Linked DNA regions of Drosophila melanogaster. The protein of the gene in region 1 interacts with the protein of each later gene in a pairwise test. Each region holds a gene or a part of one and is shown on either strand. Other genes may lie near its edges.

What was found.
Region 2: the proteins of CG34354 (region 1) and Tsp42Ea interact in a two-hybrid assay, tested with the Drosophila melanogaster proteins (one large-scale study listed by BioGRID).

What each region holds. Positions count from the first base shown.
Region 1 is NT_033777.3:28,145,110-28,150,111, reverse strand, and holds the start of CG34354 (uncharacterized protein), read right to left. Parts: upstream 3,233-5,002; 5' UTR 3,185-3,232; exon of another isoform or gene 3,144-3,184; intron 2,613-3,143; 5' UTR 2,141-2,612; coding exon 1,861-2,140; intron 1-1,860.
Region 2 is NT_033778.4:6,990,986-6,995,943, forward strand, and holds the start of Tsp42Ea (tetraspanin 42Ea), read left to right. Parts: upstream 1-1,690; 5' UTR 1,691-1,792; exon of another isoform or gene 1,793-2,075; intron 2,076-2,135; exon of another isoform or gene 2,136-2,142; coding exon of another isoform or gene 2,143-2,862; exon of another isoform or gene 2,863-3,321; intron 3,322-3,387; 5' UTR 3,388-3,439; coding exon 3,440-3,499; intron 3,500-4,958. Other genes in the region: CG30159 (uncharacterized protein), read left to right, coding at 2,143-2,862.

The DNA.
Region 1 (5,002 bases):
TCAACGCTCCGGCGGCCAAAGGGAAAGGCAAACTTCGCAGACTCAAGTGTGGAAATTTTCACTTTTTTGCCATAATTAAATTCATTTTCAAGTTGCTCTTGCTGCCTTTCTGCCGGCTTTCGACTCAACGAGATGCCACACCGACGCACACTCAACTTTTCACTATTTTTAGTCGTCCCAGTCGTAGTAGTAGACATTTTCCATTTTTCATTACAGCCCAAAGTCAGGCCGGCTGGTTTGCCTGGCCGCTTTTCCTCGTTTCATTTTCATGCAGCTTCCTGTGCCGTTGTTTCCGGTTTTATGCCTGCCAGTGTCTATTTGTGTATAGTTTTTGCCATTAGCAACCGTTGTCGGTTTGAGGGACTTAGGGGTGTTGTTGGGGCCGGGGCTGGTAGAGCCAACAAATTGGAGAATAGTCCCAGTTTCTGTCTCTATCGCTGCTGCCTTTGTTTCCAAGTTTCGGCTTAAGTTGTTTTTAAGTTGTAAATCTCTACGGGCATGCAATTTCCCCTGCCTGCCCAAGCTGTATCAAATTTTTCATTTGTGGTTAAAAATATGAAAATTGTAACTGATATTTATGCTTGTAATGCCTACGCTTGACATTTTCAGCCCAGAGGGGTGGTGTCCACAATAATTCATCTCTGAAATGCGTGTTCGAGTTTGTTATTTTTCGGATTACGTGTGCGAATTTGGCCCCTTGGAATTTTACTCATTTAAAACTGCCCGAAAGTGATACGTGTGCTCTATTGGTATTTTCGAAATCTGCCTCCTTGACTTCCGACTGACTGGGCCACGTTTAATTGAATGTGTTGCCAGTATGATTTTGGCCATCTGACGCATACAAAATTTCTATAAATATGTACGTTATCGTGCCCTGATATCGATCGCCTGGGGTGTTTTTTGGTTTGAATTGTAATTGTTCAGACATTGTTGTGAATACGTAAGCTGTTGTTATTTCTCTAGAGGTTGTTGTTAACTGAGCTTTTGCTTGAAGTTTTTGCTGCACTTGAATTCTAGTTTATTTTAAAGTTTCGCATTTTATTATTATATATAATATGTAGCATATTGTGTTATTTTGCATACTCTAATTTATTGCTCTTTAAGATAAATGCACAAATTTGACAAATAGAACACATTTTAGCACAAACAGCATTTCATTAGGATACAACTAATAGGATAAATTATTTTTTGCCATGGCCGTGTTTGAATGATTTGCTAACTTTTTAAGCCTGCACAAATCCTTGGCTGAAAATGAAATGCAATTATATCGCAAAATAAAATTCATTCAATTAAATCCTAACTGAAGCCCAATCTGAATACGTTTAGAATTGCAAATGACTATGATGGCGTTTTTGTTTTTTTTTTTGTTGAGAATAATACTTGATTTATTGGTCTTTACATGATATTAAACGGTTTGCATTTCCCAGAGTTTTCATATAGACATTTCAATAAATTAGGCAAAAATATTTGTCAATTTTCATAGATTTGCCTTCATTCCCAATATCAGAAAGAAAATTGGGTTATTTGGTTGCAGCCCAGTCCGTTATGATGCATTTAATTAAGTTTTGATATTGCAAATAAACACAAGTTTAGTCGCTGAATGAAATCGTTGTCTATTGAAAATTTATTCCAGTTGTTGATGCGAATAGTACCCCCCAGAACAAAACGCAGATCGTTGTCTGCCGCATTCGAAACACGTCTCAGGGGCAAAGTGGCAGAGACATTTCTCAATTTATGCAACACCTTTTGCCGGTGGAAATTGCGCCGAAACCGAAATCGAAAACGAAACCGAGACCAAGACCGAGAACCGAAACGGGACGAAAAGGACATTCACCCCGGGAAACTCGCTTTTCCACTCACCTGGCTTGGAGTTGTTGCCCACGAGCTGCTGCTGCTGCTGCTGTTGCTGTTGCGACATTTGCTGTTGCTGTTGCTGCTGCGAGTGCTGCTGTTGGCCATTGTGCTGCAAATGAGCAGCTGTCACCGACTGCTGCTGCTGCTGGGCGGCTGCTGCGGCCGCTGCAGCGGGATGGATGGCCAACAGCTTCGTTTCCGGCGGCTTGTGCGGACCCATTGTGATCTGCGGGGCACCCATGGCTATGGTCGGTGCTGGCATCATCAGGGTCGACATGGTCAGCATAATTTGCGAGTGAATTTTGGTCGCTGGACTCGGGAAGCGAAGCTGGGTTGGCTGGTGATGCAGTTGCTCTGGCTGGGAGTCTTTGTCTTTATTGATTTGCTGCTGACTCCTCCGCAGGATCTGAACTCGGTGCCAAAGGTCGTGCGTTAGCCTTTGTCGCCAGCTTTCTCTGGCTCTCGTCGCTGCTTTCTACTTTCTATGTGTGCGGAGTGCAAACTTATGAAATATGCTCTCGCCTTGCTTCGCCTCTATGTATTTTCACTTTTCGTGCTGGCTGGTTACTCTATTTATGTACTACATATATGTATATATATATATATCGACGTAAGTATGGGGGCATGTGGAAAATATGTAAGTATATTTTTTTCGCCTTTCTTTTATGTTTCGCTTATGTGTTTGTTCAACCGGAAATACACGAACTCAAGCGCACTTGGCTTGTAATATCGTTTCAGGGATTTCCTTCGCCTTCTGCCTGCCAGTAATCGCAAATTATTCTTTCTTTTCTGTTGTGTCTGCTGGCAGCGGAAATTATAAATATTCCTGTCATGCGAGTAGTACTACGAGTTCAGTTCTCTGCCTGCCAGACGTCTTCTGTTTTAATATCAATGTCTGGTATGTAAAATGTCAGGCCAAAAAAGAAAACGAAAATATGAAAAAAAAAAAAAAAATGAAAATATGTGAGAAAATAACAGGGGAAAATGCCAAACAAAAAAGTGAAGCCCTGCTCAGCCGGTTCAAAGTCGCTGGGAAAGTTTCAAGTAGCTGGCTGCAATGGCAATTATTATTTTGCCGGCAGCCTCTGAGTTTTTGTCGCGCGCGAATTTGCTGGCAACTTTAGAAGTCACTGACTCCAAGTGCGTGATAAGACCAGCTTAATAAATGTCGTGTATAGGTTAAGATTGAGTGATCTTTAAAAAATAATAGGTTCTAGCCCAAAGCCCAGAATAATTTGCCACTACGGCAAGGCAAGGTGTGAAGTCTATGTTTCGAACTACGCACGAACCAGGCCGACGTGATCAATCGCACACACAGGATATAATTTACAGGATATACAAAGCGTTCGGTATACGTTCGTACTAGACCGCTGGGCGACGCTTTTCTTACTGAACGCCAGGAGCACACGCATTGGCCAAAATTCGGAGGCGCTGCTGCCACTGCAACGACGGCAGAAAGGCTGCCGATTTTCCCGCTGTCGCTGCTGCTGTGAAAATCGCTGTCGCCGCTGCTGCTGCTGCCTCTGCCGTCGATGACGACGACGGGATGCGTTTCCCTACATTTCTCTTCGGCGGCGAGGAGTTCGGTTAACGGCGGCACGAAGCTGGCTGCCATCGCAGCCATCGTTCATGAAATATTCACGAATGGCTCGCTCTCACTCGCGCCGCCTGCTCCTTGCTGAATCCTTGCTCTCCGGCCCTCTCTCCGTCCCTCTCGCCATCCCAACTGGCTCGTTTCCTCGCTCCAGGCGCCATTCACAAGTCGCAAGCCTCGTCCTTTCAGGTCCTTTCGGCTCCCGTCGCCACAGAGCGCAGAATCCGAGCAGCCGAGAGCACAGGCTTTTCGAAAGCGCCAGCCACATTTGAAATTGACTGCCAAGGCTTGTTTTCTGATTTATAATTTAAATAAAAATATAATGTTATATCTTTAAATTAAAATCGTAATATCTACATGTAAAAATTCAGTTTCCAATTTAGTCAGAGCTTTTATAATGATTTTCCGTACCACTTGTCGCTTTAAATAGAACCTTCAGAAATGTCCTTTTGCGCCTCGTCACTCGAAAATACCAGTATTTTTATGGCATGCCCTGAAAACTGTTATACGTTGCAGGACAAGGCAAATGTTAAGAACAGCCAGCTGATGTTAATATTTTCTATTCTTTTTCATCTGAATCCATCCTTGCGTCCAAGTGGTCATAAAATATTAACTTTTAAAACTAATCTAACAATATAATATCTAACTAGGATAAAGCAGCAATAGCTTTTCAACAATTGTAAGCACACTTATATGCTAAACACTGTGAAAAAGGGTCAGATAAAAGCAACAACCTTTGAAGTTATTATTACTTAGTTTCACTAATATGAAATGTTTTGTATAAGCTACATACCATTAATTGCATGAGAAGCTTTGCTTCTCCTGCTGCCAATTGCCTTGCGTTAATTGTAGCCCTGGAACTAAATCCAAACAGGACAACAAAAAGGATGCAATTTAAGGTGTATCTCCCTATTATTGCACTCTTTTCTCCTCGTTATTACTCCTCTTTTTGCGTTATTAACATACTTTCTCGTGTCGACAGCGGTGACAGGGACAGCGAGCGACAGGACGACGGTGTTCTGAGGTAATGTTGCAAAGAGCAGTGCTCGAAAAAGTGTCTGGGCTGGGGAGGAGTCGCCAGTGAAATGGGGAAATGTTGGTAAAATACATAATTACATGTAATTTACCATGCGACATTATCATTGTTCTGCTCGTATTTAGCATAGAATCAACGTCGCACGGCAGAGACGTCGAGTGTCCATAGAATAGCTCATGTAGCGGACAACGGGTCTTGAATGTACTCTCCCTGCTCACCAACTCACAGAAGTACTCGAAAAAAATGATTCAACTTTATATTTATTTAAAAAATAAATAAAATTCTAAGGATTCAGCTTAAAACGTTCAGTTTAAAACCAAAGTTACATATAATTCTAGGGATCTCAAGAGTAAACATAACGATACTTCTACAAAACATTTCGATTCAATTGTAAATCTATGTTTATATTTGTGAAGAAAATCCTGATTTTCTTTTAGTGTATATTGCATGTGCTTAAATGCAACAAAAACAGCAGCAACTTCACGTAATAACAAAAGTGAAGTAAACAATAAGAAGAG
Region 2 (4,958 bases), on another chromosome or scaffold:
GTTTGAGTGAGATTGATTTCACAGTAGTTTTACTTTCTGTGTACATGCTAATTTGATACCCCGCACCCATGGGAAGCAGCTTGAGGTTTTTCCGCGGCATTAGTGCATTTTCGAAATTGCTCGAGTGTGACGCATGCAGATCTCAATCTCGACCACGGGCTTTTCGTCGCCAGCGAGTGTCCCTCCCCTTGGAAGGCAATCTCACTTATGTCATTCATTTGACGCTAATTCGACATTTACAGAAAGTATTTGCTCGAGGAAGATAACCAGAAGTGCAAGCAAATGATTCATAATTGATTCTATTTTGACAATAATTGGGAAGACAGCACTGTAGGAAAAAGGGGGCAATATGATCATATTCCAAATAATATGAATATTGATCATTTTAATTTCAAATTGTGTATATTCTTAGTAATCATATTGTATGTATGGCTTTTCCATTTGGGAAAATCCGTATGAGTTATATTTTATTCCTAAGAATTCGTGTTGCATTCAAAATTGCTGAAACAGAAATAGCTGCAAAAAATCTTGATTTGTTCGTGCCAATTGTTACATTGCTTTAATATTTTAATCTTTAGTAAATGTGGGCAATCCATCGAGATGATCTTCAGCGCTTGTATCTATTAGATACACTTAATTTTCCATCTTTAGGGGCAATGACTCATCCCAGTACGAGTTTCATTTAGATAGTGCGATTTCGATCAATGGAGATACGAAATTCTATTTCTCTTTGTGTGCCGAGCGTTGTGGAAATACATTTAAATACGGAACAACGTGAGGTTAATTGTGCGGAGCACACTTGTTAATTAGGGAATGTCAGCGGGCGCGACAGTTGGCGCTCCCCTCACCCCTTCCCAACCCACCGAAATCCGAAAATAATGCTTCCAAGCCACGTTTTCATTGGATTACGTAAGCTGTAAACCAGTTTATGATGTTGTTGTTGTTACTGTTGTTGCCAGTGTGTGTCAAGGAAAAGCTAAACACAATTACAACGCCCTTCTGTCTGGTAATTAAAAACGGAAGCCATGCCCGAAGCCATAGTAGGCTGGCTAACGAGACCTGCACATCGGCCCAAACTGGTTGGCTTTGGCTTTAGGCCACTTTCGAGGAAAATCCGCCCACGACGAGCCGAAAACCGCAAAACACGTCCGCCAGTGGAAATCGCATCGAAAGTTTTGCGGTTTCGAGCCATTTTTCCATTAACTCGAAATTCTAGAAGATCAATTCAAATCAATGTTCATGTGAGATTTTCCTTATGAATACCTGTATTTTTATATACCGAGATACGTATGTACAAACAATCTTATCCTACAATTTCCTGTTTTTGAGGCAGCTTTATCTTATAAAAACTGTTCGAAACAAAATTATAATTTCCATATACATATCTTCAACGTGAGGTTTTTGCTCCCTTTTTTCTGTTCTTAATTTTCCTATTGGCCAGGCAATAGTGCATTTGCATAAATAAAACATTTATTGGTAGTAAAAGTTAAACAAATATGTACGTAATTCCCGAAACATTTCAAATTTGCATAAATAAACAAACGCGATTGGTAACAGAGAGCGGAAAAACAAGTTACAGTAATTACCGTTGGGAGGGGGTGACGAAACAAACCAAAACAAAACGAATTATGCTCGTGTGAGTGTGCGCGACGCAACAGGTTGAGGCTGCTTGGCGCAGCTTTTGACCGATCAGTTTAGTTCAGTTAGCATTGTCAACTGCTCACGAACGGTTCGAAAAGCGGAGCGCGCGTAAAATCATTCTGTAAATCATTCAAAAGGCGGAAAACTCAAGGTGTGTGTGTGGGTTTTGTTTTCAAATTCCGTGTGCTTGTGTGTGTGAGAGAGGGCGAGAGCGACAGTGTCGTAGCAGGCAGTGTTGTAAGGTGCCGAAACAGCGATCCCAACCGGCACACTAGTTGTCCTGCTCGCACTCCAGTGAGGCAAATGTCAAAGTCTGGTCAGTAGCAAAACAGAATTGCAGCCAAGAAAAGCGGAATCAGCGACAAAATTAGCCATTAGTTGGGTTTTACATATAGATTAGGCCAGCGAAACGACATAACGCTCCAAGTGGTAAAGTGAGACCTGCCAGTGGCGGCACCCAACCCGAAAAAGCCTAACCAGCGACCACTTTCCAGTTATCCAATGGAGGCGGCCAAGGATTTTGCGGTGGCCAAGTACCAGGACTTATGTAACTTCCTGGAGCGGGATACGCGCGGCAGTGAGCTGGCCATCTATGGCACCTCGGCCATCATGCTGGCCGTGGCCTATGCCAAACGGAAGCCGGCCTACCTGGTGCGCCAGTTTAAGCAGCCCTCGCACATCCCGGAGCGCCTGATCAACGAGCGCGTCATGCACACGGGCAAGATCGCCGGGGTCAAGCAGCAGGAGCAGGACACCCTGCTGATGATCCAGCACCGGCCGCTTTTCCCGATCTTCACTAGCAGCAAACGCCTGCTGCCCGTCAAACTGCCGGGCGTGCGCGTCAATGCCAACGGCTACTCCTGGCTGCAGCAGTGTCTCATTGGGCGCGAGGCCACCTTTCTGCCCCTTAAATCCGCCAAGGGACAGGACTTTGTTGTCTGCCAGCTGTGCCTGGTCCATCCGCCGAGGGGCAACCGCCTGCTGGACGTCTCGGAGACCCTGCTCAAGCTCCGCTTCGCCCGATTCGTGCAGGATGCCGCCGCCGCGGTTAAGAAGAACGGGAAGTACTACCAGCATCTGAAGAAGGTGGAGCAGACCACAGCGGAAAAGGAGGCCTGGCTCTCCTGGGCCGCCGGCTATCCCTACATCTGGCGCCGCTACAACGAACTGAGGCAGCGCTGGTTGCCCAAGGAGAAGCTGCTGCCGGAGCTAGTGCGCTGATTGCGATCTCCCCGTTCCTGCCTCGATGCTATTTACAGGGCTACCTAGCTCGCCACCATTAACTTAGTTCCATGGCCAGCTACTCTCTATATTTTTATTATGCCTGTTTACTAGCTTGTGCATTTGTGTCTTAGTGTTGCTTGCTATCTATTGTTATACGATTGGCAAATATCATATACGATATAAGACAGCATTTGTTTACAAACCCTCGAGCACAAGTACACAAGTCAGTCTCAAAAGCTTATTAGTAAGGGGAATAGCTAGCGCGACTTGCCCAACGCGACTTTCGATGCCCAGGCGGTACGTGATCGTGTGCTAATTTCCACACCCAGTAGAGCCAAGAACGTCAGCATTTTTTAAATATTCAAATAAGCGAAATGTTTTTACCACGGATGACATCAGTGCGTGTGCCTGTGTGTGTACGTGTGCGTGTTTCCCAAATAAAATGCCGAAATACCTAACTTTTCACGCTTGTATCTGAATTTCTTAATTCCATTCCATTTTTTTCGTCTCCCGAACGATCAGTTGCAGTTCTTCATCCATCTCCACCAGCAATCTCTGGCAAAACTCAGGCAAAATGAGCTGCGGAATCTCCATGGTTAAATATATCCTATTTATATTTAATTTGCTCTGTTCGGTGAGTAGCATAGATACATTTAAGATTACATAATTTCGAGCGGCCAAGCTTAGATCGACTTCTCAGCCTTTTAGGCTGGCAGTGAGATCATAACTTTCGTGCGGAATAAACTGGTTTTCCCAAAATTGGTGTTTTCAGTATTGAAAGGCTGAGAAAGTCGAGGCCCACAAAAGTGGTGAGCATGAGTACATTTTAAAGCCACAGAAGGCACTCTCGTTAAATGCATTTTTGTATTTTTGTGTTCTTTAGGTCGGCTTTCATATTTACATATCATGAAATTAAACATATCTCAATTAATGTTTATTAAGGACCCTTAAAGTAGGATCTATTATAGCATTTATGGTGTCTCTTTTCCGGTCAGCACTATCACTTTCCGGTTACGAAACGCACTGTACGTGCAAAGTGGGGGCAGAGCTTGAGATCATCATCAGTATTCCAAAACCAGTTATTAAAATTGGGCTACGTTTGTGACGTAGCGGTATCCGAAAAATTCTGTATAATTTTGTGTACACTACGTACACTTTTGTTTACTTTGGAGTCCCAAAACCAGTTTGTGTTGTTTCGGTCCCCACAACCGAGCCCCACATCCACAAACATGCATCCCATTAGTCGGAGTCAGTCCGAGGTTAACTGGTTCCAAATGGCAACCAAACAATCATTGAAACGCCAGCAACGGTGGCATTTCGATATGGTTTTGCAACTTCTAACTCACTGCCCCAAAGTCACTGCACCGCCAGGTGGAACTGTACTTCGTCCAACCAGTTTGGGGCTGGGACCCTGACTTGCTGCTGGTGGGAAATCTGACTGCGTCGGAGTACCAGCGCATTATTCGCGTCACGCAAACATGGATGTCATTCACTACGGGCGGAAAAACATCAGCACACGGCGCTAATTCTTCAATCGTATGCAGTATACGGATATAGAAAATTTACAAAACAAAACCATTTTTTGTTGATGGGAAATCGGTAAACGAGATGGATGACCTATCTACTTGAAATAGGTCATTTGATTTGTTCAAGAGTTCCAATCCGCAGTTCTCCAACCTTTTTGATAATTTAAAGTAGCTGCAATTAACTTAAGAACCAACATGGAAACATACAAATATTTTGTCTGTGTGTAAAGTCTGCCGCCACTTCAGTGGAAAGTTGTGTAATGGTTCAAGAGGGGGGGGGGGGGGGGGAAGGGGGTCTCACCCAAAAATAGTTGACTTAATTTAATGTGAACTTGCTCCCATTGTGAGACGACGAGCCAAAACTCGGAAACAACGAAATATCATCTACACACGCACATCATGGAATGGAAACACGGGGGTCGTTGGCGGTACACTTGAACTCAATTTTCCGAGGGAGGGCGATCTAGAAATGCCAGACGAATGCGAGTGGGTGGACTGGTTATTATTATAATTGTGGACCAGTGTCGAAATGTCGCTCTCTTCTGATCGGATGCGATGCTAACTATT